Oreochromis niloticus: one gene and its partners. The protein of the gene in region 1 interacts with the protein of each later gene in a pairwise test. Links are inferred from orthologs where the notes say so. Each region holds a gene or a part of one and is shown in the gene's direction. Other genes may lie near its edges.

The links.
Region 2: the proteins of kctd1 (region 1) and lnx1 interact in binary tests that used the Homo sapiens proteins (3 or more experiments, as listed by UniProt). The link is inferred for Oreochromis niloticus from reciprocal best matches to the Homo sapiens genes KCTD1 and LNX1.
Region 3: the proteins of kctd1 (region 1) and lmo3 interact in binary tests that used the Homo sapiens proteins (3 or more experiments, as listed by UniProt). The two-hybrid records come from large-scale screens. The link is inferred for Oreochromis niloticus from reciprocal best matches to the Homo sapiens genes KCTD1 and LMO3.
Region 4: the proteins of kctd1 (region 1) and polr1c interact in binary tests that used the Homo sapiens proteins (3 or more experiments, as listed by UniProt). The two-hybrid records come from large-scale screens. The link is inferred for Oreochromis niloticus from reciprocal best matches to the Homo sapiens genes KCTD1 and POLR1C.

The regions. Positions count from the first base shown.
Region 1 is NC_031982.2:17,124,071-17,131,546, reverse strand, and holds the start of kctd1 (BTB/POZ domain-containing protein KCTD1), read left to right. Parts: upstream 1-4,473; 5' UTR 4,474-4,946; coding exon 4,947-5,183; intron 5,184-5,998; coding exon 5,999-6,177; intron 6,178-6,842; coding exon 6,843-6,987; intron 6,988-7,476. UniProt on the Homo sapiens protein: May repress the transcriptional activity of AP-2 family members, including TFAP2A, TFAP2B and TFAP2C to various extent.
Region 2 is NC_031986.2:37,504,769-37,512,314, reverse strand, and holds the start of lnx1 (E3 ubiquitin-protein ligase LNX), read left to right. Parts: upstream 1-4,536; 5' UTR 4,537-4,835; intron 4,836-7,546.
Region 3 is NC_031981.2:699,195-706,301, reverse strand, and holds the start of lmo3 (LIM domain only protein 3), read left to right. Parts: upstream 1-4,086; 5' UTR 4,087-5,111; intron 5,112-6,047; exon of another isoform or gene 6,048-6,792; intron 6,793-7,107.
Region 4 is NC_031978.2:30,581,800-30,589,033, forward strand, and holds the start of polr1c (DNA-directed RNA polymerases I and III subunit RPAC1), read left to right. Parts: upstream 1-4,218; 5' UTR 4,219-4,774; coding exon 4,775-4,846; intron 4,847-5,135; coding exon 5,136-5,207; intron 5,208-5,228; exon of another isoform or gene 5,229-5,384; intron 5,385-5,813; coding exon 5,814-5,921; intron 5,922-6,091; coding exon 6,092-6,224; intron 6,225-6,785; coding exon 6,786-6,917; intron 6,918-7,021; coding exon 7,022-7,174; intron 7,175-7,234. Other genes in the region: si:dkey-191g9.7 (G protein-regulated inducer of neurite outgrowth 2), read left to right, coding at 1-708. UniProt on the Homo sapiens protein: DNA-dependent RNA polymerase catalyzes the transcription of DNA into RNA using the four ribonucleoside triphosphates as substrates.

The DNA.
Region 1 (7,476 bases):
TGATTTTATAAAAACATAAACTCAACAAAGACTGAGGCACTGCTGCTGTGATCTCTTTCTTTGCTCGCGGTTTTATTTTGCAGATTGGTTTAGACTGGGGCAGAGACATGAGCTAATTGTATCCTGATCTTTGCCTTGAGGGGTTTCGGAGCCCTGGAGCAAGTATTCTGTATTTTGTTCTGTCTACCTTAGCCAAGCTATTGCATTTCTCACTGGTGTAGGAAGAGAGGCAGATCGTGGGCCAAATCGGACGGAAAAGGTGCCCAAAAAGATACTTTATGCCGCTCTATGTTTCAGGTAAGCGAAGATTTATTTGGTTTGATTTTATTCCCGAGGTTGGATGGACTGGGACATAGAGGCGCAGCAGCTTTTACGCATGTGCCAAGCGATTCGAGCGGTACAGTTCTTAAAAAATATTTAACCACTTCCTGGCTATTGTCCCTTACTTACTGTACAAATGTATGCGCGTGACTACAATGTAGGACGTTCTGGTGCATCCAATCTAAACGAACAGCGGGCTCAGACTGTGATCTTGTCGAGCAAAGACTCTACTTATCCACCGTGTGAATTCGCTCCTGGCGCGTTTCAGCTCGGAAAACATCGCCGTCTCCGTGTCTGCTGCTGCTGTGCAACTTGCTCGTAACTTACTTAAACCCGCGTTTGTCGTTTTCGTAAAGGTTTTTCGAAGTGAGTTTTGTCGTGAAACACTTCCATTTCCTGGCTGCCCTAGATCTTCTAATGAAAGACGCCATTGTGGAGTAATTTTGCCGCGGGCGTATTTCTTATTCTGTATGACAGGATGTACCTTTTTACACACGTCAGTGCGGAATCTGTGAATCATCCGTTAATGCAAGCCATGTCCGCGTTATGAGATTCACATTTATGCAAAAGACGAAAATAGGAGCGAATTTAGTCTTTAGTCTCCTCGCTTTAAGACCGCGCCGTGCGTAATCAACTCCAAGGTCCGGATGCGAATCGGCACAGATGTACTTACTCAGTAGTAGTAACAGTATCGACTTATTTCGCCTGTAGGACTATACTTTGTAAACAGACATGTACTCCGTTTAAAGTGTGTACTTTCTACAGTATTGAATGTGGCATCCTAAAATATAAAGATTTTTTTAAAAAAAATAAAAATAAAATAAAACATTGCGTTTGATTACTAAACATCTACCACTGGACCCCAGGGAGAATACTCAAATCCAGCTCTGGTCACCTGTAATGAAGCCCTTAGCCAGTTTCACGAGTTCCAGGGGGTGAATGAATAAAAAGAATGGGACTGAGATGTTTGGTTGTCAAGACCGATCACCTGATGGCGCTGTTAAAAAATAAAATAAAAAAAAAGGAAAAGGGGAAAAAAAGAACTGTATATAGTGCTTCGGTTCATCTGTTTCACAGTGACAGTAGATTTACAAACAGAGCTCTGAGCTGAAAGAAGACACTTAACAAAACAAGCCAGAATCGCATTAGTGAAACTACAGGATCGGTCTGAACTTCATCTTTGCTTGCTCGATTGGAACGCTAGGAGAGAAATGCTGTTATTGTATTTTTGTAGTGGCTCTGCCACTCCTATGCCCTGGGATAGTTTGCTCTGTGCCAGTGAACATGCACTACAGTCTCTAACAGCCTGCGGCAACACAGCACTGATCACACTTCCTTATCCGTGATGTCATGCTGATGTACAGCTCCAGTAACTCCACAAAGAATCATTTTCAAGTAGATAAGTAAGTCTGAGAAAACTGAGGGAGTAATTGTGTGTTCCTGGTTGATAAATAAGTAAGCACTACTATGGCTTGTTTTATAGTTAACAGCTGTGTATGAAATTCTTGATCGTGTGGAGAATCAAAGCTTATCCGGACCACCGTGCTGTACTGGAAATGATTATTTTTATGCATGTTACAGCCAAAAATTGAAAAGGTGACTACACATGAACTCAACAAGATGCTTTAAAGTACAGGTTTGCGTAGTGTGTTCAAATGTGGTGATGTGTTTGTGTTTGTGTGGGCAACCTCTTCATTCTTTCATTAAATGCCTTAGTACTTTTTCATACTAAACACATTTCCACAGGTCATCCAAAACATACCAAATAATCCCTTTACTGTTAAGTGTAAGACGTGGAGTCAGTTTGGAGACAAAGACAAAGATGTGAATGCAAAAACAATAATGACAATGACAAAAGTTTTATTGAAATGCAGTATTTTAGCTTTGCTGCAGCATGCAGTTACTTTATATTTACAAAGTATACAAAGTCCAGTGGGATATGTATTTGATCTAGCTTACAGTTTTTACCCAAACCATGCTGTTATAACAGTTCATCATTACCTTTTTCATATATATTTTATATATACAGCTAGCGGCAACTGATGTTAACCCAGAGTTTGTAGCTGTCTGTGTATGGACATTTCAAACAAATGGCCACAGGCAACAAAGCTGAGACAACCCATCCAGATTATGTAAATACCAGTCTGCCTGCCTTGAACTGAATGTTAATGCTCTGATCTGAAATGCTAATTGTATCTTGTGAGATATGTCGAAACAGTGAAGAGTTGCATTCTGGGATGGCCAACTTAAAGTTAGTCTGTTACATATGCTGAACCCCAGAAGGCCCCTCAATTATGACAACAGCAGACAGATCCTTGCTTTCCATGTTTTTGGATTAATTATTAGTGGAAAACATACCCTGCTATTTCTTAAACATTCAACCCCAGCTACTGTATGGTGTTTGTTCCTTAAAGTTTGAAGAAAGATGGTCTTGCATTAAAGGCCTGAAAGAAAACTGGTGAAAAACAACAGAAACAAAAGGGAGTAGCTCGACTGCTCCGGGCTTTGATGCTCTGCGCCTGTTTTAGATTTGTTTGTGCATGCTGTGGTGCAACAAAATTACACGAGCTGGATAAACGAACAGATTCCCTAAACACATACGTTTTGACTTCTTTCGCAAACATCCTAACATGCATGGGAGACTTCTGTACCTCTGTGCCAAATTCAAAATGGCAACAGGTAGGAAAAGCGCTCGTGTGGCACATCTCAGGATTCGTACTTGTGGATTCTGAGGACGCTGTGACCTTTGAACCGATTTTGAGCTACAACAAATTTGACGTAGACGCGGGTCCGACGAAAGGTTCACGACACGTCTGTATTTCCAGCAACTCGGGATGATTTTGTGATATGAGAGCTCATTCCCTCAACTGGCTCCCTCCAGCTCCCAACCCTCCACTTCCCACCCACCCAACCACCCGTTCTCTTTCACTCTCTCTTCTTTCTCCCCTGCAATTTTCCATAATGCCTCACAGATTTTACACTCAATCCACCTTTGCAATGACAAGGCTTTGAGGAAATCCAATTCCACCAAGCTGTTTTCAGAACTTACTCTCCACAGGCACACACTTTCTCTCACTCACTCGCTCTCTCACACACACACACACACACACCACCATCTCCACAAATTAGTCAGGGAACAAATTACCTGCATTCTGAGTGTGATCCCACGCACTTTGCCGGCTGCCTTACACAGGTCCCCTTTTGAAGAGCAGCCATGTGATTTCTCTCTCTTTTGCCCCGCAGGCCCCTTTGCCTTCTGCGAGGGATTCTGGAGTTGAATTTTAAAACTATGTATGGCTGCTGCCTGCGCTTATCAGCGCGTGCACAAGTGGCATGCAAATCAGACCAGGATCACACACCGCATTGGAGGCCTACACTCAAAGGCAAGCTTAATTGCTAATTGGGTATCTAGGTGTGAAACTCACACTGCCAATGAGAAACAGGAATGTGGATGTTTTAAGGCCAGTGGTTGAACTAATTAATTTTAATCTGAATGTTATTAAAAATTGTGGATTCCCTACATTTCTTCTGCGGGAAAAAAAAACAACCCAGGAGAGTGCTGTGGCAGTACTTTTAACCGCAATTGGACATGTTGTGGTCTGGTTTTATACTCCACGATATCATTAGTGTGGTAGCTTTGCAATGCTGATGTGGTCACTGGAGGTGGTGTTAACACCACACCGCACCGCAGCTCTAACACTTGTCAGACACAGAGCCAGGGAGAAACAGATGAAGAAGTTTTATAGCTGCTGTCTGCGTCTGCTCTGAGGGTCATACCGTTGACTTGAAGGGGTGTTAGCTGGTACTTCACATGCAGTGTTTCTTTGCTGACCTCAAGGACGTTTGAGTTATTGATAACATCTTGCAGCCTGTAAATAGTGAAGAGTCTTTTCCGTTAAAACATCATATTCAGAATGCATTTGGTCATCTAAAAAATAAAAGAGTGATGTTCCTGACTGCTTTTGGGTGACTGGAAAGCTCACAATCAATCAGGTGCTTATGGCTGGTAAGTGTGTGTATGGGTGGGGGAAGGTTTTTTTTTTTTTTGAATGGGCTATTGCAGGGGTATTTTTTTTCTTTTTTTGTCCATGTGATTGAGAAGGTTGGCCACTGTTTCGGATTTGTCACAGACTCAACTTTGTTCGACTGATGTGTTGGAAGGCTGAACAAAAACTGCTGCTGAACAATGGGCAGCAACGTGTAGGGTGGGGGGGAAGTGGTCGCGCGTGGAAACACTGCTCCGAAAAGGGGGGCAAAGGCCAGCTGTTCAAGGTCCAGATGTGGCGTGTTAACCCAAATCGCATTATAAGCAGACGATCGCATTTTGCAGGCTAAGGCAGGATTTGTTTCATTCCGCGAAAATGCGACACACATACCTGCCACTGAAACAGCGACAGCCCAAAAGAGCCGCGGGCACTACAATGCTAATGTTGTCGGGGGCTTTGACTTCTCCCAGCCACTGCAAAGAAGCCGCTCCGTGTGACAGCAACGGCTTTCGCTCTCACCCCCGGTGCTCGCTATTTTTTTTCACGCCTCTTCATTTTTGGCAGGTGTGTTGGAGAGGGTGAAAAAAAAAAGCCTCACCGCTTTCTCCTATCTCTTTAACCCTAAACGTCTGAGCCGTAATGGACGAAACGGATATCATGGACTTAACGCATCAGAAGGCGAGAAAGCGACCGCGTCCAATCAGTTCCGTGGATGAGTCCGTGCACGCTTCCCTCAAACGGCTCCCGATCCGAGCGGCGGAGTGCAGGGAGAGCTCGCTGATGTTCGCTGTCAGAGGAGAGCCCGTTCCCGCAGCATCTCTGAAGCAAAATGACCATTCGGTGACTTCCTCTCCAACCACAGTGATGCCGGCGCAGGTAAACGCGTAAAAGTGTCGTGTTGTCTGGGGAGGGGGAGAGCGATTTAACTTTCGACTTTATGGGGCGAAGTGCCGGACACTTTGTTTTTTGGTTGTTTTGTGTTTTTTTTAATTTACCGAATCAAACAAATCATCTCCTCGATGCCCTCAACCGTAGACTGCGCACATAGTGTCAGACAGTCCTTCTTGTGCAATTTACTGTTAAATGTATGTCTTGAGTTCACGTTTTTTTTTAATTTGTTTTTTAAAGAAGATGTGTCTAATGTCCTGCCCACTCCTTAGTGATCAGGACACTTTCGAGATTTTCTCCAGTCTTCTCAAACTTTTTCGGGTATAAAGTCATTTTTCATCTCAGAGCTTAACAGAAATCGTCTCCTAATGGTGTTTGTAGGTTATCATGAGACGTTATTCTCCAAATCCTATTATAGTATTCAAATCAGGAATCATTATTGCTCATTTTCATGACTGAGATTGATGCTCCAAATTAATTTGGTTTTGGAGATTATGGCCCACAGGAGTGGATGCTTGTGGATTGTGGCAACATTCAGGTCAAGGTCGGGCTGCTCTATCTTGCACAGAAAAGGGTAACAAGAAAAAAAACCCACCCTTCCTCTCCACTCCTGACTGCAGAATATATTAGACTAAAGAAATGCACAGATTGTTGTCTCTTATTAGCCTTTCTTTCTTTTTTCTTTCCTAATATACTAATTTTGTCCATCCTCCCCAGACTTGTTTTAATTGTCTGTTTCATTTGCAGCAGAAGATTGCAATCTAATGTGTCTTCCTACATGCATTTCCTTTGTGCTCCCTCAGGATAATCGCTCCAGCATGTCCAGGCCCATGATCACACGGTCACCGGTGTCTCCCTTGAGTAACCAGGGCATCCCAACACCTGCTCAGCTCACCAAGTCCAATGCTCCTGTGCACATCGATGTAGGTGGGCACATGTACACCAGCAGTCTGGCCACCTTAACAAAATTTCCAGAATCTCGGTGAGTTTGCCCTGCCATACAGATGTATTTTAAGTGGAGGGGGAAGGTTAAGATCCAGGGTCAGGGATAACCATTTGTGGCAGGATTTTTGCATGTATTGTGTGTTTTACCAGGGATGTTTTCTGCTGGAGCCTGATGGTTTTTGTCAGAATTTCCTCGCAGTTTGTTGTTTATTGGTTATTGTTGTAACGTGATGGTCAGATGTCACATTTTGTAAAACTCTGCTATTTTAAAGGGGTAAACAATTTGTGAGCGCTTTAAGTGCAGAATGCAGAGTGCAGACAAAGGCAACTTGGTTATTCTGACAGATGTCACAGCAGCAGTAAAGAGCCAAAGGGCATGGAGCCATCTGGAGGCTGGGAGGCCACACTGTCGCTCCGAGCACAGGCCCGGGGGTGACTGCCTCCCTGCCTCAGGCGACCAAGCACCAGCTGGTCTTGACCTCTCCGGACCACCTTTCTTTCTTTCTTTAAGATAGATTTAGTGAGATCAAGTTTAGGCTTTAAAAATTGTTACAAGCTTTTGTTTGTGAGTGTAAAAAAACAACAACAACAAAAAAAAACAAAGGATAGAATTCTTAATCCTGATATGTTGTTCTCCTTCTTCCTTCCTTACCTCCCTTTCTGCCTAAATCACCACCCCTCCTCTCTCTCTCTTACGGGCAGAATTGGTCGTCTCTTTGATGGCACAGAGCCTATAGTCCTGGACAGCCTGAAGCAGCACTACTTCATTGACAGGGATGGACACATGTTCCGCTACATCCTCAACTTCCTCAGGACGTCCAAGCTCCTCATCCCCGACGACTTCAAAGTAAGTCGATGCCCATCCTAGAAACTGTAAATTCCCATCAGCCAGTCAGCAGTCCTACAACTTAACACACACAATGAATGCTAAGGCCGTGGAACGCCTTTGGTCACTGGTCCTCCCTGAGTTACTGAAAATGGTTCACATGCTGGAGAGAAAATATCAGGGCTCTACCAAACAAACCCCAATTGCAAAGCATTTCCTCATCAAGAGATGCAGTTTGATCCCTTCTAGCTACGAGCTGGCAAAGATTCTTTTGCAATACATAAGTAAAACAGTAGGCTCGTACTGAAACAATTATACTGACACCCATGGCCATACGATATGCTTTTTTTCTGCAGCTCTCTATGTTCTTGTGCCAAGTGTCCATCCAAGGTGCCTGTCACTGTATGTGGCACATAAGAACCCCCACCCCCCCTCAAATGTTTAAGCAATAATTACTGAACTTGCCCTGGGAGAAAACAAATAACCACATTATCAGATGGACTGTCCACT
Region 2 (7,546 bases), on another chromosome or scaffold:
CCGATGTGATTCTGAAAACTGAAGCAGACATACCGCTCATTTCATATCTCATTTTCTTTCTCCTCTCTCTCTCTTTCCTTGTGTTCTGATTCTGTATTCTGCTTAGCACCCTCCCTGACTGTCCCACATGTACAAATGCCTGGCTGACTCTTACTGTGACATTTGACAAATAGCATAACAATCTGCAGTATCTGTCCTTTGCACTTGAATGATGATATTCACATCAGCGATCACTTTTTATAGAGCAGCTGTCAGAAATGCACACATACACATGCATGATCTGCAACCGCAGTTGTGCAAGTTTCCTTTTCCTGTGTAAAAACGAGCCTCTTTTGACACAAAACGAATGACTTATTGAATACGTCATTATTTCCCCATATTATATCATCAGGGTTGGGAAAATTAAAATCGACTGCCCTACTTTATCAGCGTGCCTTTTTGTGCAAACGAGTGTAGCAGTAATAAAAGAGAAGTGAAACACTTAGATGAAAACGCTCCAAAACCCATCCTTTCAGATTTCTCAGCTCAAGACTGAAGTGTGCCAGAGGTGGGTGGGATTTAGAAAGGTGGCAGGGAACCAGCAGTGTCAAGGCAGCGACTATAACAGACTCCTCTCTGATGTGTGACATGTTAAAACAAGTATATGTTAACGGGCATTTGTTTGTAGGTATGTTTGAGTACAGGAGCAGTGAAAAGTCACAACCTAATACCGCTGTGAGTGAAAGATGAGAGAAACAATATCAGACAGGAACACTTGCGTATTTCAGATGCCACCTTGAATTAGGTGGTTGAAGATTACGTGGTGAAATTGAAAGCATTTGCCTCAGAAAATGAATTCATGAGTGAAAAACACAATGGCAGCACTATTTTTCTGAGACTGAATAAAATGAGTAGACATACAGAAGAGAGCAAAACAGCGGGCACAGAAGCAGTCTGAGGGTAAACCATCAGGTAGATGGCAAATTGGAATTGCATGAACAGTGACACTTTCCTTTTTTTCTGCAACATTTGAATGTGTGTGCGTGCCTGCATCGCTGCAAGTGTTTTTCGTTAAAGAACACGACAAACACAAATTTTTCTATGACACTCTCTGCCAGACTAGCTTTGTAAGGTGTGCTTAATGATTTGAAAGGATTAATTTTTCAACCCAAATCATGAACTTTTTCTAAATATAGCCTACAGCTTTTGTTGCCTAAAGCCCTGAGGGAGTATAGCATCTAAAAGTATTCATTCCTCTCAGTGTTACAAAGCCAATTAAGGTAAACATGTCTAAGGAACTAAACCTAAAAATAGCAACACCATATGACACAAACAAAGGAAGTTTGAACTCGTGATGAGTAATAAAGTCTCTAATTAATCTAATTAGAGGGAAATTCCATAACATGGAAATGCTACTTTAGCATTTTTTATTAAGTATTGTGGCACATTTACAGCAATGGAACAAATTAACATAATGCAAGTCAAGCTGTAATAGAAGCTCACTACTATGTCAGGAGTCCCAGCCATAAGAATTTGGGCTAATAATGAGCTGTAGTATCATTTGCCATTTTATATTTATATACTAGCAAATGCAGCTAACAAATGATCCCTGGTTAGCTTATCACATAGGACATTCCCAAAGAAGTTTAGTGGAGCTCACAGTATATTTGGGAGGTTTGGTGAGTCATTTTTTCCTGCTGTACCAGATCTGAGGTTTCGCTTACTTGCCAAATCACAATTCACAACCTGACCACACCCGTAAACAAATCTGTATTCGTGAATGCAGCTGGGAAGTCGTCCTGCAGTTTCACCGGGAAGTGTAAATCCATTTCACATGACTTCACCTTGTTTTTGCAGTAGCTACAGGGATGTCACTGAGATTTTAGTTGGACTTTGATTTGACTTCTGATTTTGAATTTTATTTGTGCTTAAAACTTTGTATTAAAAATGTCCCTCGTGTTTTTATATATAGTAGTAACAGCAGATGGGTTTTAATATATCTTGTACGGTTTATATTTATACTAGATACCATTTTTCTTTCATAACTGCATATTATAATCTCATAGCTCTCTACCTTTTTTATTTATTATATCTACATCTTTTATATTTATTTTAATTGCACATCGTTGCTCGTTTCGATCCTGTGTATGCCCTGTGCATATTGCAGAACTGACAGTGAAGTTGACTTGAACTTTGATTTGTTTTTCTTGAGAGGTTTGCAGTTCTTCCCCCTATTTTGTCCAGCCAAAGCCTGCATGTCTCATATTGCTACAACAAAAATGGTATTTTGGCCACAGAATAACAGAAGATACCAATTGCAGTAATATCTAAAGGTAACATCTTTATTGTAATATAAATATAAACTTAAAATATATTGAGTTGGTGCTTTAGTGTAAATGTTAAGTGTTTGTTTTTTTGGAACAGGCAAAAAGCATGACCTTAAAAAGCCACACAGGCTCTTTTTTCTTGGCTTGATACCCAGTAGTATGCTCATGACACCAAAATCCTTGCAACGCCATTGACTCACACCTGCACTCCTACAACGTCTGCGTTGAATAACCACAATAGAAAGACAAGAAGGATGCCATCTCCTTGGTGATGTTGGAGCTGGCTCAGTTGCATCTATTTGATTACTTTCATTCTGTTCTTTCCCGTGTTCAATATTCATGGTAGGCAAGGCATTTGCATTGATACCATGAAATATGGATGCTCTGTGGAAAGAAAAGAGAGACGACCGACCTTTCACTGCCACACGAGACTGGATAAAAAAAGAACTTAATAAAGGCTGTTTCAAATACTGAGTTAAAAGAGAAATAGTCCCTGTCTTTTTGTCACCCAAGTTTTTTTTTGTGTGTTGTTTTTTTTTCTCCATTCGCATCTGCCATCTGAATTCAAATCATTGCACGGTACTTAGAGGAAATATGTCAGAGGAATGTGAAACAGTTAAGCTGTGAAGAAATGGAGAAAACAGTAAAACTGTTTGGTGTGTGTGTTTCTGAGAGATGGAGAAATAAGAGAAAGGCAGGGAAGTTTGCTAGGAAGAAGGTGGAGATTGGTTTCACCTGCACTACAGTGTTTAGATAAGCTCCAGCAGCAGGGAGCTGAGGAATCAGCAGAAATGAAACAGGATGCAGGTTCAACTCAGCACTTCAAAGAGAACTTAAGAGTTCAAGAAACTTAAAATCTTTGATTCACTGCAGCAATACACACTGTATAATTTAGCATAAGGCGAATTTCATGAGCATTCCTGACTCTTAGTACATCCTGCCATATCATACTGTTTGCTGGAGTCCTGCTGAGAAGAGAAGAGAAGAGAAGAGAAGACTGCACTCATTTAGTTCAGAAACTATTACTCATCCTCTAATTTTACAGTGATTGTGAAAATATAAGAGTGGCAAATTTATATCTCCAAATCCAAGAACATTTAAGTTCATGTCAACAACAACAACAACAACACATTTGCAGGATTGTGAGCTCCATGTGAACTGCAACTGAAATAAATTGCACTTGGAGGTAAAAATGGACTAAACAAATGCTGCTGATATTGTGAACATGAGAAAAGATTGAACTTTACTTATCACAATCTTAAAATCGTTAAATAGATTTACTCCTGGTTGGTTGACCCAACTGCAACTGTTTTGCTACACTTCAGTCATTTATTTTCTTTTAAGTAACCCATCTGTTTGTTCCCTTCATGCACTCAAAATAAGCTTCAGATGAGGGGAAAAAAAACCCTGACAGGTACTGCATAATAATATGTTACAAGCGAGTACTGTTTGAGAATATTCTTAATAAACAAGGTAAATGATTCAGCTCTGCCTGCGTCACTGAGTGACTCATAAAGAATTGTCACTTCATGTCTGCAGTGAGTCTGGAGCACCTGTGGCTCACAGTATCTGTGTTTAAAGAGCAGCCTGAGGTAGGAAAAGCAAAGAAGGAAGCCACACGTGAAAACACAAAGGATAACAACTGTTTTGCGCAAAGCTGGAATCACACGCGTGGATTTAAAAGCAGCTTTTCTAAAGGAAAGCTTAGATAATTATAAGAAAGAAAGTCATATACAGCTAGCAAATATTCCAATTTCTGTCTTGTAGAAAGGTTTAAATGCTTACTCTACAGTACCTGGCAACATTATAAAAACCTGAGACATGTTGTCATTTACTCAGATTATGGGCTTTCTGCTAAACTACAGAGCACAGTGTTTCTGTTTCAGTAAGTGGTCTGCAGAAAATCAATCATGTAGGTGTTTAAAATGCTTAGTGGGTTATTAAATCTTTGCCATGTTATAGAAAGGTCCTGTCTGAACTTGTAGTTTAAGGCACTGGTGGCATTTTGCATGACATTTTAGTTAATTAAAAATATTTTTGTTGTTAGCACTAGTCACTTTTGAAATGTTTCAGTTGCCTTTAACAAAAGTTCAAGGTTTCGGTTCCTCTGCCCACACTGTTTTAGAAGAAAATCCAGCTTCTGCTGAACTCCCAATACAGGTTTGGGCAGTTCTCTTATTTACCTTTTCTCTAACCACGCCTCTATTCTCTGCCCACTTCCTGATCACCTTTGCCTGTTTAGAGGTGAGCAGGTTCTGGGCTCACACAGGAGAAATCCTCTCCGCTTTGGACTCATTCCATATTTTATAAAGTCCAGCAGCAGGATAAAATTTCTCTCTTTCTACTTGAAGACTGTCAGTCGGTCTCCGGTTTGCTTGAGTTGGACAAAGTCCTCTTTACGGAGTCATTTAACTCTCCTGTCCTTCCCCTCCACCTCCTCTCTGAATGGTTTAAAGTTACACTGCCTGCCAGGCTTTACCTGTTCAGGTGAACTGCACTGCCGAAAGTGAATGTTGTTTATGAAGCCATGTAAGTATAGTTTCCTATTTTACATTTTATTCGAAGCGTGTCTGTTATTTATCTTAACTGCTTCACTAAAATACACAGAACATCGTGCCAGCAGTTATTGCTGCTCCAGTGTTTGCATGGAAAAATTTGCATTAAATTTGTATGTTTGAGTTTACATGCGAGTGTAGCGTATGTCGATTTTCTCTATTCTCTCTATGTGCGCCGGTGTTAAGTACAGTCTGTTCTGACCCACTCAGCCATTCAGATACAAGTGACGCTTCATGGGGTTTCACATCTGGCTTCAGCTGTTTTCCCAGATTGAGGTGTCAGGTCTGGCTCAGACTCAATGTTCAGATTGCTATGAACTCAGAGACAGGCCAGGATAGACAAACATACACACGAGCCTAATGCAGAGATTAGTAAAAGGGCAGAAATTATACTAATATTTGATTTGCACATCCCGTGTTTATTCTAAAAGGAACAAAATGTGCTGAAGACATCAAAAATATTATGCTGTGTTACATTTGGTGTGCAGTTAAATACTTGATAGATAGCTGGCTGATTGTTGCTGTTTTTTTCCATTGTTTATCGGTGTGTGATTGCAAAACAGATGTTTGCATGAAGAGAAAAAATGGCTTGTTGGAATTTTTCTGTTTCATGGACATGTCTGAACACAACTGCCTATGTTTGGTCTATGCTCTACAACACATAACTTTTGTGCCTGAGTCCAGCCTGCCTTGTGCTATGTTACGCTTAGAGTCCTTGATTGTTGACCTGTCAGCAGGTTATCTGGTACTATTTAAATATTTTTATGATATGATGACTAACCCATTTGTTGATGAGCAACTTATTGTTTCCACTCTCTGAGTGAGTTTTCCCCTAACACGAGTCACAGATCAGTTTATTATCTTCACGGTCTTGAAACTACACCTGTAACAGGTGTCTTCCTTGTCAATTACAGTAACACGGTGCTTTGATTTGACAGACAGATCATTATGTTGCAGCATGAACTAAACCTTGCGTTGCAGACACTCATACTTTGTCTGATTTCTCAGGCTTTGACTTTTACTCTGAGGGTGTGTTTTGTTTGGTCGATACAAATATGGTTTGATGTCTGTGACTAAAAATGAGGAGTGGATTTGTACATAGCAACAAGCTAGCTCAGTGTGGACAATGAGAATGTTGATACAGAAAGTACCTTATTAATGGCTTATTCTTCACAATCATTTGTTAAGAAAAGAAGCTGCCTTGGCATGGCCTTGTCTCTTTATTAATTCATCAAGTCCTTTTAGATCACAGGAGAGAAACCTGACAGTGAATAAACAATGGTAGTTAAAGAAAATGTGCAATCTGTATGAAAGAAGGCACAGGCTATGTTAAATAAACAGCACTCTTTGCACTCAGTTGCATAAGGCCTCGACAACCAACAACTGGCATAACTATAGTTCAAAGATGAAAATAAAGACTACCCTGAGTGTTGTATTTACCATGTAAACATTTTTTTTTACTTTGTAGTCCAAACTGAAAGCCTTGAGCCTGACAGCCCCACCTTTCTCATTCTCTTTGGATACTAGATGGCCGGTGTAGTCAATAATTAAACGTCAACAATATGTAGTCAAGGTTCAGTCAATTAGCTGTCGTGAATGATTTTGTTGTGAGGAAAGAGCAGCAGTCCCACAGGACTGTTGTGACAAAGTGAACTTATCACTTCAGAGATTAGGAATGATCCAGAGTGAGCCAATGCTCCTCAGGCATGGGTGTGTCCACTGAATATGCCTGCATGAAAAAAAAAGGTGTGCAGAAGCATGAAATGTCTGCATGTAGACACATGTAACAGCACTGAGAATATCCCTGCTATTGTGCCATGTTGTATAGATGCTATTTATGGATGTCAGGCTCAACTTCTCCACTGAAAAATTCTTGAGAAAAAATAACTACACCCAATGGAAGACATCATCAATCTGTTGGAATAACCAAACATAAGATAATCTTTGATTGTAAGTTAGAAGAAATGCAATGATCCCAGTGAGAAATTGTTTTAAGAGTTCAAAAATTCCCAGCACAATGACAAACAGCACAAACAGGAATTATATATCTTGATTGACGGTGTCTCTTTTGTCCTGTCTCCATCCCCTCACCTCCACCCGGTCACGGCAGATGGCTGCCCCTCCCTGAGCCTGTTGCTTCTGGAGATTTCTTTCTGTTAAAATGTAATTTTTCCTTCCCACTCGCACCACATGTTTGATCATAGGTGGTCGTCTGATTGTTGTGGTTTTCTCACTATTATTGTAGTATTTTTACTTTACAATGTAAAGTTCCATAAGGCAGCTGTTGTGATTTGACTTGACTGAACAGAACGGATTTCCAGAGAAAGGAAGGGCCTCCCATTAGTTGCGTTGTCTTTCCTTTCTCTGGAATATCTTGCGTATGTTGGGAGATGTTCTTATCCGCAGGAGTCGCATGTAGCTCCTAGTGCTACCTGTTTCTCATGTGGCCCCTTGTGCAATTAAGTTTCCCAGGGGGCCACATGAGAAACTTGGCCTGTTGTTAAGGGCTGCATCAATAGGTTTAACTCATTTCTACTCAATATCCATTTTATCTCTTCATAAATTTCTTCTGGACATTACAATTTGTGAAATTTTAAACACTTTTTATATTTTATACAAAGTGACAAAGTGCATGTATTGACTTCTTTGGTCAATAATTTAAGTTTAATAATTTAATCCTGGTTG
Region 3 (7,107 bases), on another chromosome or scaffold:
TGTAGCCTAAAGTTTTATTGTTAACTGGTATTTATCAGTGCATTTTACAGAGTAAAAAGTAATGTAACAAGTAGTGTGAAAAATTACCAAACATACTCCTTTATTTTTAAGAAAAATAATAAGTAATATGTAATACATTATGTTTTTGAGTAATGTCTCCAACACTCCATTTAAACAATACAGCTGAAGACTGCTTTAATAAATGAATTCAAATCAAATAACTTTTAGCAACAACTAGCCTTTGAAGTAAAGATGAAAAAATGAAATAAGAGTTGCAAGTTTACAGGACGTGTGTATACTGTTGGCTTGTAACAGCTCATCCTGTACTGTGACACCAGTCATGCCTGTGATAAACACATTTATTTTTAGTTCCTGTTTGAGTCTTTTACAAACTAATCATGCCAGAAATTTCATTTTCAAGGGCAACAAGGATACATACTGAAAAATAAAGACCACAGTTCAGTTTTATATAAATACTAACTACAACGAACATGCCAGTTAAACATCTCTAGTGCTTTACGTGATGCTGATGTGCACGTAGTTTTGCTCATAATAACAACACAGGACAGTTACACCATGTCATAATTTATTTATGCAATGTGTGAAAAACTGAAAGTGAAACTGTAGTGGAGATATCAAAGATGGGCACGGCTGTGGCACTGATTCAGTCTTTGAGCACTACGGTCACTCCGGTGTGTCGGCCAGAACACCACTTAAGGCCAAATTGTCCCAGAGTAGGAAAGAAGAAGGGAGCTTGAGGTTCTGTTTGAGGCACTTTATTGTCACCACTCAATTTCTGGGGCTGTAAACACAGCGGGTGTACATAGGTGTGTGTGTGTGTGTGTGTGTGTGTGTGGTTTTCTACAAAGGAAATAAACAAGGGAAATAACGATAAATAAAGAGAATAGACAAGTAAAACACTCAAATACAGACATAATACAATATAGTTAACATAATCAAATATAAAGATCAGAAAAAATATAGTACACTTCAAACTGCTCACACTATGCAACTAAACAGCATTAGTGCGAGGTTAAGTTACCGTGGGGACATAGGAACTACTTCCGGTAGTTGTACAAAATAAAAGCTTCCCTATTATAATCAGCCGTAATGCTCTTGTTGTGAAGGGCAAGCGGGAACGCGATCCTTCCGGTCAAACTACGATCGCTATTTTATTAATCCTTGTACCTAATTGTTCGCTACAGACTCCGCTACTTTAAAGTAAACAATCACAAGCATCACATACAACATACAGAGAAGGTCTGATACCACAGGAATGACATTATGGACATACGAGCGACCGTGCATGCGTCAACAAAGCTAAACCGGGGTAAGCTAACAACATAAATTAGCATATGAAATGAGGGTGAACTCACGCGTTGCATGCGTGGCCTACCGCTCCAACTATGGACTACATTAGCTCCTAAATGGTAACATACTACAGTACTGACACAAGCAAAGGCAAAATACAACACAGGTCAATACTTACTTGTCATTTACGCACACATAACATTCCCCAGGAATCAGTGCACCCCCTCCGGACCAACACTGCTCATCCGACATTAAACTGCCCACCTTACTAACCGGATGATGTCACTAGACGGTGGGCTGGCCCAAATTGGAGAGGGTTGAAAATTAAATGAACTTATATAAACTTATAAACACCAATAAAACTATTCTGTGAACTTTGGGGCCTTTTATACAGAAACTTTCCAACATTGCTTCAGATCACTGACGTTTGCAGGCTTGTGTTTATGCAGAGCTCTTTTAAAGTCCCATCACAGCGTTTCAGTCAAGCCAAGGTCTGGACTTTTACAACACCATGATCATCCATTCTGTTCACTATTCACCTGACCAATAATGACACCTCCCCCTGTTTGAAATAACACAGTACGACCAATGAGGGTTCCCCTGTGCCATCCCCAGCATCTAGGGTGATCATTCTTCCCAGTTCCCACATAGACCCACTCTTTTATCATTATTTCTATTCCTATTGTTAAGAATAATACTAATTATTATTGCTATTATTATTCATATAGTCAAATAATGCACATTCACATGACCAGACAGTTTGTTCATACACAAGCTACATACACAAATGTCTAATAACTTGGTTGAACAAGAACAAACAAATTATTTCTGGTGTAATATTTGAGATACAAGACATGGGCTACTGGAAACATCCATATCTGCAATAATTAAACATCAGAATCTTAAATAAATAAATAAATAAGCACAGATTACTGAAATATTGTCAGGCTCTGGGCATGCTTGTTTTTCTGTCTTCTGCTGCAGGTGGGGCAAGTAACCACGCCCAGGTGACGCAAGTAACCATGCCCTGAGTGGGGCGGGTAACTGCGCCCTGGGTGGAGCCAGACCTCCAGCTGGCTCTTTGCATACATTGTGATCATCAGCTGTATATTTACCTCCAACTGTGCCTGAGAATCTCTGCCAGTTTTGCCCAGCCACTGCAGTGTTAGTTGTTCTGGTTTCCAGTGAACTGACTTGCAACACTCACCACCTGATTCAGTCCCACTTTGGATTCCAGCCTCTGGGGGTGTTGGCTTTTTGGAGGGTTATGCACAAGTGCATTACTATTGCATCCACATTTCTATAATTCACATAATCTTTATTTTTGCATAAGAAAAAAAAACATTCAAACAGATAACAAAAAGAATTATAAATTGTCCTTCAGTCTCATAATAAGGTGGAAAGAAAGAAATCAGTCAGCTGATTCTGGGTCTGAATAATCAGCTGGTCTGAATCTGCTTTACATGACTCTAATATAACTTTGGGTTTTACCTGGTTTTGATCTCTGCTTCCTGTAATGTTTAGTCTTAATTTAGATCAGCAAGCAAAATTTCTTATATTAATACGTTTTTCTAATGACTTGCTTAAACAAGTTTACACAGCAATAAACAAATATTTTTGGTTTAATATTTGAATATCAAAAGAAAAACCAGTAATGTACAAAAATATTGGGATGAGAAGTTTTTTTTATCAGATGTTTGTTTTATTGTAAAATTGAAATTCATTTTATATTTGCAAATCTGTCCACATGTAGCGTGTTCAGAATATTTCTACTTACAGGACAGTTAGAAACAAACGCCTACTGTGTGTGTGTGTGTGTGTGTGTGTGTGTGTGTGTGTGTGTGTGTGTCTGTCTGTCTGTCTGTCTCTATAATGGAACATGTCTCTAACATGAACACTGAAGGTCACTAACATAGACTAATAACATGTACTGTGTGTCAGGTTATTTCCACATGCACGCGGCTTGTTACCAAATTTTCACGACTTCTGGCCCCAGAATCGGCCAGCAAAGATTCCAATATGGCCCCTGCATGGCTTTGAAAAATATGAAGGCAGGCATGTAATTTTGGGCTTTTAACTGGTTTTGTTTATAAGTTTTAACAGCTTTTCCTGCTGATACAGAGCTCCTCCACAGCCATTACATATTACACAGTCGTTACATTAATTCTTTATAATTAATAGATAAAGAATTAAAGGAAAGGTTCTGTTTTTCACTGTCTACTATAGAAATGTTAGTTTTTAAATTTCATCAATCAACAATTTTTTTCCATATTTATAAAACAATAAACAACAACGTTTTTCTGTATTTTGACACATTTATCATGTAGAAAAATTGATACATGTGTTTGAAACTGCACTTCTTCAGCTTACGTTGAGATCAGGGATTGAGGGGTTTGCTCAGTTAGGACCAAAGTGGGCTCGATGTTCCTGAACCAGATGATCAGGACAAACAAACAAACACTGCCAGTTAGCCACCGGGCTTTAACTTGTCCTGTGAGGCCTGCGGGTGCATACCATGTTGATATCTCCTGTTATGAAAACATTCTCACATGGCAACAGTATGTGTCCCATTTCCTGACATCATCAAAAACAATTTTGTTACATTTGTGAAAACTTAAAGATCTGGGAACAATATTTCCCACATCGTTATTATTTCCCCAATACTTTATTAGTTTTCATCATAAAGAGTTTTTTATGTCATGCAAAAGTAGGACATTACCCTCTACTCGACGCTTTCTGTTTCAGCATTCGGGCTAATGAAAAGGGCTACAGGAGTGACACTGACTGGTACTATTAAGCTACATTATCACTACTCTGTAGCTCCTGGCATCTCCACCCAACGCCTTTTCTATTCAAAGTTGGCATCAGAGGAATTATTTGAGGTAAGAGATGAAGACAAATATTACCATTAGGATGTTTTATGGCGTATGTCGACTCAGTTTTCCCCCTCGCTCGCTCTCCCTTTTCTCCATCTGTGCCACTCACTTTCTCTCTGTCTGTCTCCCAACGGGGATGAAAAGGCAAGGAGAGAGAAAGGAGGAATAGAAAACTGAGTGAGCGCTGTCAATAGCAGTGAGTTCACTGCTAATCTGGCTACACTACAAAGGTTAGCAGATCTGACTGTCAATAGTGTCTTGTGGGGAGGAGGGAGGAGACACGGAGGTGAGGTGGTGTAGGGAGGGGTGGTCGCTTTGAGAGAAAGAGATACTTTGATATTTCGGAATGTTAGAAGGGTGAATGTGGAGAACTGGAGGTTGGGGATCTAATTACCGGGCCATAATTGGGGGCTGGGGAATAGGTTGCCGTCCTCTCAACTCGCTGCAGATCAATTATGTTAAGAGAACATCTGTAAGTAGAGCTTAATGAGGTCCATTAGAGCAACATGCGCTGCCTTCCCTAACGGTGCTTGTCAGCTTCTTGGATGAGCTGGAGTGTGCTGCCGACTGGGGACCTTGTGGAGGGGCTTAAATAGGAGAGGAGGCTCGACTGTGCGCTGCTTTTCCCTGTCAGAGAAACAGAGAGACACAAGCAGGGAAGGAGAAGGGGGAAAGGGATGCTCTGTGAGAGAGCTGCAGGAGTCACAGAGCAGCAAGGGGAGCAGAGTTTAGGGTCAAAGCTCAACTATTAACAGTTATCAAACCATAAAACTTTGGCGGCAAAGTTTTCTTTAGAAAAGCGGGAGCTGGCCGAGCTCTCAGAAAGTTACCTTCTGGAGATTTTCATTCAAAGTCAAGAGAACACAGAAGACACGAACCACGGCAGTATTTGTTTTGGGCGTCCCTGGCTGTAGCTCCTTCAAGGTATGTGTTATAAGTGCTCTGCTTTTCTTGGTTCTAAGTTAAAGCTTAGCCACAGCGAGGGCTGCGTGTAAAGTGCTGGTTGAGCTCCCAGGGAAGAGATCGGATGGAAATGTAGCAGATTTGCTTCCTCCTGAAATGTCATTTATGCAAGGCTGTTCAGAGCGTGTCTGGTTTTGGTGCACGTTCGTCTTCATTACAGGCTGATGGTTGGGGTCATAGCATATAACAGAAGTCCCCTCTCTCCGGTTTTGCGTTTGGCAGGAGTACTGTATGGTGCATGAGAAGACCGGGCTAGCCGCGCGATGCTCGCCGCTCCCCCGCTCTCCACATACACTCCTGCTTTCTGTCTTCATCTTATATTCATACGGAGAATGAATAATTGGCTGAACACAGCAAGTGAAAGGAGGGTGGAAGGGCACCAGGAGAGGGGTGGAAGCCTCACACACACTGCACACACACTGCAGCAGATTGCATGATTACCGAGATAGGCCTCCTTGAAATAATTCAATCCATGACAAAACCTAATTACTGGCAGGTAATACCCTGTCAGCTTTAATGCATCTCATCACTCATAATGGCGCGGAGAGCATTTTATGACCCAACTCATTATTGCTGCATTTTTGGCTGGAGTCACATGCCAACTATTGACTTGTGTCTCCTCCTTCTGTGCCTTCCACACTTTCATTTGTCTATCATCATATTTATACGATGTATCTGTGTGTGTGATAGGGAGCAGTGGTGCGGTGGGGAGGAAGGTTTGGGGTAACCATACCGTGACACTCGGGCCTCCTCGCTGCCTCGTCTCATCTAAACTAGGTCGCTAATTGATGCACGACTTGACGCGAAAACCTGGTGAATGTATTTTTCCTTTAATACAAGAATGATTAAAAGCAACTATGGAGAGATGATAATCCGAGTTGTTGATGTTAACCCAGCTGGAGACCTCCCTTTGCCATTAAAGAAAGAACTGGCACAGGCTGGTGTCATCACAGAGCCATTATATGCACTGGGATGTTTGCATTTTCTCACACTAGTCTTTTACCAAACAAAAGTGCAAGCAGTAGACAGTACTTTCTTTTTCTTTCTTTTTTTTGGCTTAAGCTCGGACTGATCTTTTTAAATGTTAATAATTAGAACCCTGTGCAGATGTAACACTGTAGGACAAACCACGACTCTGGCCAAATACCTGAAATAAACAATGCAAGGAGTTACATCTGTGACTCTCTGAGAGCTGCTCATCTCAATATTAGTATCAGTGTTAGAAGTAAACTGCTCTACCTACACGTGGACTATTGCATTTGCTTCTGTGTCTATAATGTAGGCCCCAGGAACCATCTACACGCACCCGTGGCTCCAAAATCAAAGAAAGTGGGCGTGTACGGGAGGCATCCTTTAGCCAAACAGCTGCTAATAACTGAATGATCATATCGTGTCACTGCTGAGAAGACTGGAGGTGGGACAATAATAAGAGAAACTTCATTCTCTGACAGACCCGAGCACTCCCTGCAGCTTCCACCTGTAGCTAGCTGCTGACACACCAAGCAGTCGCTCTTGGAAGTCTTTGTTTCCAAGCTCCAGGTCAATGTGGCGACCAGCGCTGCCAGTTGCTCTGCAGAGGCAATCTGTAGTTGCTTGAAATCTCTGCTTTAGTTTAGGCTTCGGTTTAAACTTGCTGAGAGAGGTGAGTGATCAGAAAAATGAGCCTTACTGAAAACAAAGGTGACAGAAATAGTGTCGAGTTGCATGAAAACAAGGCTTCATACGTGTAAGAGTTTGGGAAGAGCGCGCTTACTGCTCGGTGAGTGAGCCGCTGTGCGTAACCTCTGCTCTGCCTGCTGATGAGCCAAGCAGCATGCAGCAGGAGCCGCTGTGATGAGGTTGCCAGTGTCGTGGAGGGGAAGCATCTCTTTGTCGTTCTGTCATTCGCTGCCTGCCTCTCTCTGCGCACCGATAAACGTGCTCTCACACACTGTGCGACGCCCGACGGGAGCAAACG
Region 4 (7,234 bases), on another chromosome or scaffold:
CAGATGCTGCCACGTCTGGCAGGCTCCAGTATCCAGCCTCCAGTACCACCTCCTTCAACAGGAAACCACCTTACACTGCCTCGCCTCTTCTCCTCTGTTAGTGAGACAGGGTTAGATGCCAAACATCTGCTGCACTGCTGCAATCTGAGCTGCTCCTGGATTAGTTCACTGCCGCCTGATGCTGGCCCACAATGCTCCCAAAAAAACTTAGGTAAAGATGACTGGTGCAGTACGACAACTGGCCAAGAAAGAATCACAACACGTGACATGGGAACTATGACAGCCCAAAAAGTTCTGAGAGATATCGGGGTGCAGACAAATCAGACCACCGGTTCTCATGTGTTCCCTCAGATCTATCTGGCAGAAGCTAACAAGAGTAAGATGTCTTCTAGCCAGACTGACAGCGACAGAGACAAAAAAGCAGGTGGTGCGCCTAAGTCCCCAGTCAAGGAAGTGAAGTGGGATGCAGAAGGGATGACATGGGAAGTGTATGGGGCGTCCGTGGACCCTGAGGAGCTGGGTCTCGCCATCCAGAAACACCTTGAGCTGCAGATCAAGGAGACAGCAAACCGTGCGGCCAAGCTCTCACAGCAAAACCCCAACCCCTCCCGGGAAGTCAGGAATGCTGGCTGTCACAGAAAGAGAAGGATGATGGGCTACCTCCAATCTCCGGCTTGCTGCAGTTGCAGCTCTGCAGCTGTTGATTAACTGAGCACCTGACAGATGGACAGGACCTGAACACTGTGCTTAGTAGCCAGAAGGGCTGCTCATAGCGTCAACCTCAAATGTCTGGATGATACTGCATTCTTATAAGACAAACCTCTGTACCAAATTGAATGGAAAAACTTTTCATAAAGTGATCCTTATTCAAAAATTGTAAAGATTATGAAAGACTGATAATGATTAAAGATCACTATGAAAAAGAAAATGTTAAAAAAAAAAAGTAATAAAACAAAAATAACAACAAATCTTTGTTCCATCATTTCTTAGTGAAATATTACTCAGGGACATATTCTTTTTATCTCTCGGTAGATGCAGATATCATTCATCAATGGTCCATAATATGCTTCTGTGCACTATTACTGTTAATTAAATTGGTTTTTAGCTTAGTGAACACATAATTCTCTTTTCACTGCCAGTTTTGCACAAACAGTACTCCGACCAACTTCTAAATAACATTCATTCTTTTGGAGTTAACAGACTCCATGACAGTTCTCTGGGAAACTGCTAAAACTTAAACATGTTTCATCTCTTTAATGCTGCATTTTTATTGGTCATTAAAATTGTCAAAATGTTTTCATCTATTCTAGTTTTAGCTGTTGTCCTATCTGTCCCTACCTTTTATTAAGAGTGTTACAACAATGAAAATGAAAAATGCCTGAAGTTCCCCATATCTTAATATAATAATAACAACTCACGATTAAATCCTGTAAAACACATAGTGAGTGAAAGTTATCAACTCATCAAGTTAACCCAGGGTTTCCCCTGCGGGTTCACATCATACGACTCATCATACTCAGAGATGTTATCAAATTGTGATTAAAAACATCTCTGAAGATCAAAAACATATACCAATAAAATGCAACACTTTTGTAAAAAGGATGAGATAAATGCCATGAAAAATAATTTAATTCATCTGGTGATTTAGTGCACACAATAAGGATTTTAATTAATTTAAATATTAAACCTTACAGTCCCACAGCCTGACAAAGGAGATGTGGAAATCGCTTCAGTTTGTCACAGATCAAAGTAAAATAAATGTGACTGATTAACAAGCTGCACATATAAAACTCCCCCAGCAGAGAATCTATAACACACGCAGCACTCGCAGGCAAACTAAACCGAAACATAACCTGCTCCTGACAGTTTTAGTTTTTATGTCTTTATTTACAGACTCTGCTGTTTATGGCACAAGAGAAAAGATTACATATAAAAACACAATTCAAACTCAGTGCAAATTTGATATAAAGTTGTGCAAGTAGATAGCAGATGTCCTGTTTCAGGATCCGATATGAAAGCTTATAGAACAATAAAAATATTGGAATAATGTTTGCTGCTAACAGAGAAAGCATTGCATTATAAATCTACATTATTTATTATTTGTTATGGATGCTCTTTGGGAAACATAAAGACATTACATGGTATTAATAAACTTCAGGCCTTCCTGCTGTTTGAGCACTGAGGTCTGAGGGATACAAAGGAATATTAGGGCCACATTAAGAAAAAAAATATTATTGAACGTTTTGAGAATAAGTTAAAAATTTCTAGATTAAATTCAAAATAATATTTTGAGAATAAAGTTGAAATGTGGATATTAAGGCCCTCTAGAAAACACTTTGTTTACATGAGTTCGTGATCGTACTTCAGAATTGTTTTTTAGTTAGAAGGAAATAATTTCCTTGTAAGAGCTTTGAAAAGATTGTGCAGAAAACTGCATCTGGTCAGAAGGAGGAACACATGACTGTGTGCAAAATGAAATACCTGGCATTGGACAGACGCAGGGGTAACGATGGTTGAAGTTGTTTCCCTAACTCATCTATGCATGGCATTTTCTATAGGGTATAGAAGCTGTGGCAGTTGTTTGGCCTAAAATGACAACTGCAGTCTCCACATTTCAACTTTTTTCTCAAAATAGTACTTTAAGTTTAATCTCAAAATTTCGACTTTAATCTGAAAACGAACAAATTTTTTTGTTAAACTTAATGCGCCCCAATACTCTGTCAGACATGAAATAGTGACACTATTTTCTGGAGCATTGATTGGTTGATTGAAAGGCATTTTATTAACATTTTCATGTCGTTAATGATAATTAAACAATGTATATATATTATTATTTAACACAGTACAGCCAACTAAAATGTATTAATTTGACACATTTTTTAACACAAAAAGCTCACCTGCTTCTTCAGATTTCAGTGGCGCTGTTTCAGTATCAGGACTATAAGGAGAGCCGGACAGCTGAGCCACAAGTCTGATCTGTTTGTCCTGGCAGCAGGTCGTCAGATGAAGTGATTTTTAGAATATTTATTTACAAAGTGTCTGCCTGCACCAATCACATGTTGAATAAATTAACAAAAACAACCATCCCCTTCAGCGTCAGCTAGGAGCTTGTGCACCTGGACCAAACCAAATCATGAAATAAGGATGGGGGAGACGAGGCCAGAGCCTGGCTGGATTTTATCCTTTGTTGCCAAAAACAAGACTAATGCTAGGAAACAAACACGTTTATAAGCAGTGTTGGGAAGGTTACTTTTAAAATGTATTCCATTACAGAATACTGAATACATGCCCCAAAATGTATTCCGTAACGTATTCCGTTACGTTACTCAATGAGAGTAACGTATTCTGAATACTTTGGATTACTTAATATATTATCGTGCTGTTTACAACTACGTGAATGTACTATTGCTGTGATTTATTACTGTTACTGAAGGTCCGCGGCTCCGAACAGTAGTAAAGGGACCTCGGGCTAATACGTCGGGTTCCGTGTCGGGCTGGTAGCCGAAAACTAGCTTTACTTTGTTGTCTGGGTCAACTTTGCTTGCCAGAGACAGAGAGAGGAGTTGAAAGGCTCCAACGGAACTTATTTTTTCCGGAGGAAAACACGAACACAGTGTACAGTCGAGTCTTAATAGCTTACTTACAAATGGGCTCGTCAGGCACTCTTCTTGGCTGCAGTGGTTATTATTATATTTACATGCTTCCAGCTCCCGTTTTTGCTCCGTGACAGCTCGGACTTTTCCTTTCTCTCCCTCCCTCGCTCACAGACACATAACGTGTATGGCAGTCCATTCTCCCTGCAGCACGGACTACACTGCCCATGAGGCTACATTCTTTAGGGCCATGCCTGTAGCATTCTGCCTTTTAGCTTAGCACAACAACAACAACAAAAAAGCGCTCTCTCACCCAGGAAACACGCAGAGAGAGAGCGCGTCACCCTGTAACCATGGCAACCGTAACGCTGCCGCCTGGAACAACATTACGTAGCTGTCAAACAAACCCAAACAATCCTGACCCGCGAGAATATGAAACAGGGAAGTACCGCCGTGTAATCCATTTATTTCAACAAAGTAACTGTATTCTGAATACCACCTTTTTAAACGGTAACTGTAACGGAATACAGTTACTCATATTTTGTATTCTAAATACGTAACGGCGGTACATGTATTCCGTTACTCCCCAACACTGTTTATAAGTACCTTGTGAAACAAACATTATTTTACGGTGACAGGTTTTTGAAAAACAAAAGAAACTACTTGACTGTTCTGCTAGGCCCCTGTCACTCGTGGGCCCTTTAGAAACGTTATCGCCTATCGGCCCCTGCCCCCCAAAACGCTGAAATTAGCGAAAATCACAACTTGAAACCAGATCATTTTAAACGAGTGACTTTTACTCAATGCACAGTTTATCCCACCGAGTTCTTTTTCGTAGGCTGAGTGCTTGATGTTGGCCTTTGCGTCTATCACCACCATACCAGCCACAAAGAGCTGCTTATTGATAACCGATAACCACACAGTGCCTCCGAGTGCTACTGACGAAAGACTGCAGTTTTTACTGGCGCAAAGTCCACGAACACTGTGCAGTATGAGCATACTGTGAAAAATACCCGATGCTGCAATTTTGATCATGTCTACTGTATTTTGAGCCAAATTTCTCCGCGTGCGTATAAGAGAAACCCCCTGATTCATACAGCTGCTGATGGAGAGCAGAGAACCACAACTGTACCGTAAAGGAGGTGTGGGCGGAGCCAAACACTCCCCGCCCACTCGGCAAAATGGCAGCCAGCATGAAGAACGTGGAAGAAATTCGGAATCGAGTAATATTGGGAGAATTTGGTGTGACGAATGTAAGTGCGGCTGTGATCGTGGATTTGGAGAGGCACAGTATGTCCTCTGTGGGGTAGTGAGGCTCTGACTGACACGCTTTAACTGATACGCGTGTTTGACACGGACTGCATTAATATTACTTAATGAGCACCTATTATAATATACAGCAATCATTCATGGAGCTGAAAGTATAATGTGTTTCTGCGTTGCTTATTCACTTGTAGTATCACCTGCCGGATCATACTTGTGGACCTGTGTGCTGTTGTTGTCTTTTATTTCTTTTAGCCACTATTTATCTGTTGCTCTTAGGTTCATACTACGGATTTCCCAGGAAACTACCCCGGATATGACGACACTTGGAACGTGGAGAAATTTCAAAAGGTAAAACGTTGTCACTGCGGTGGGCCTGTAAACGCTGGGAGGACGAATGTCATCAGTTTTCTTCTGTAAATCTCACATGACTTTTGTGCGCTATTGGGAATGATGCACAAGCCTTTATTGGGATGCTGATCCGGCTTATTTGGAGTCTTTACAGGGATCTGCTCTTCTTACTGGACGGTTTGGTCCATAATTGTCTAAAATGTGTATAAATGTTTGCACAGCAACAGATTTGTAATTTCACCCATGCATACCACCACATTTCATTTTTAATCAAGTAATCAAGATGTGACTGAAGTGCAGACGTTCAGTATTCATTTAAAGGATTTAACTAAAGTACTGATTTTAACACACCACATGGTCATAAATACTCTAAGCATCACTCTTGACCTGATTCGAGGCCAGCAGAACTGTTAGGGTTACGTTAGTCACCAGCCTTTTCCTTACATTTGTCTGTCCACCAGTAAAAAGTATTGAATATGTATTTGGACAAAGATGTGTACAGACTAGAGTGACTAATGTGCTGAATAAAAGACCAATGCTTCGCTTGTGCTTTTAACAAATGTGTGTGATTGTAAATAGAAATGGAACTCTCCTGTTTCTTTGCAGAACTTCAGAATCGATGTCGTGCATCTGGATGAAAACAGTATGGAGTTTGACATGGTGGGGATTGATGCAGCCATTGCCAATGCTTTCAGAAGGATCTTACTGGCAGAGGTGAGCTTGTTTTGTTGTGTTGCTACGGTTTCAGACCTGCTCTTGAACTTTCGGTATGTGAGGGACTTTCGTTCATGAAGAACGTGTACATTTTGTGAATTTAGGCATTTAGTTTATTCGTTTTATACAAATATATTTTGAAAGCTGTTAATTATTTTTGTTTTTTTTAGGTGCCTACTATGGCTATGGAAAAGGTGTTCATCTATAGTAATACCTCCATTGTCCAAGATGAAGTCCTGGCCCACAGATTAGGCCTCATCCCCATCAAAGCTGACCCTCGTCTGTTTGAGTACAGAAACACTGGTAAAACATCATATTGAACCACTCACCCATAAGGCAGTTGACACCAATGCTCATTTTATCTCTCTGTGTCATCTTCTTGTCATGTGACAAAGTGCCAGTTTAGATAACATCTTGCTTAGTCATAATTCTAAGAATAAAGACAGTTTCCCTGCTGTGCTGCAGAAACTCTACAGAAAGACACGAGAAACTTGACAGTGAGCCTGACCTCAGTTTTACTGAGCATCTGAAACAGATACGACCCAAAGATGGAGAGGTCATGCCTGCTTCCTACTTATGCCATGTTCTAGTTACCTCGTCAGGCGTTATGAGCATTAGTACTTTTTTGCCCTTTAGAACACAGCTCGTCCTGTAGCTGTGCTTAGTAGGGAACAAACATGTGACTCCACGTGAATGTGGAGTCAGTCGTCTGTCCGCAGGTTTGTGCTGTGGGTGAAAAACTAAATAATCACTTTTATAATTTCATGAGCTGCAAAGCTTCCAGTGTTTTCTGCACTTGATCTAACAGTGATGATGTGCAGCATGTTAAGCAACATGTGTAAAATGCTGCTTTGTTTTTTTTAGGGGAGGAGTCTGCAGAGGAAGAGGGTTCAGAAATAGACACAATTCAACTGCAGCTGAAGATAAAGTGCAGCAGGAATCCCAGAGCAAGCAAAGACTCATCAGACCCACGAGAGCTGTACTTGAACCACATGGGTGGGTATTTTTAGGTGTCACAAAATGATGCAGATATCTTAGTAAAAAAAAGTATTCCTGTCTAATTGCAGATATCTGCTCTGTCCACTTTTGTCTGCTCATAGTTTATTCCAAGGACATAAAGTGGGTCCCCATTGGGAACCAGGCAGATGTGTTTGCAGACTGCTGTATTGGGCCTGTGCATGATGACATTCTGATAGCTCAACTACGACCGGGACAAGAGCTGGACATTGTCATGCACTGTGTCAAAGGCATTGGTAAGCTTTATTTCTGTCTCGGTGAGTGGCTGCAGTGCTGAAGATATAGACACTAAACAG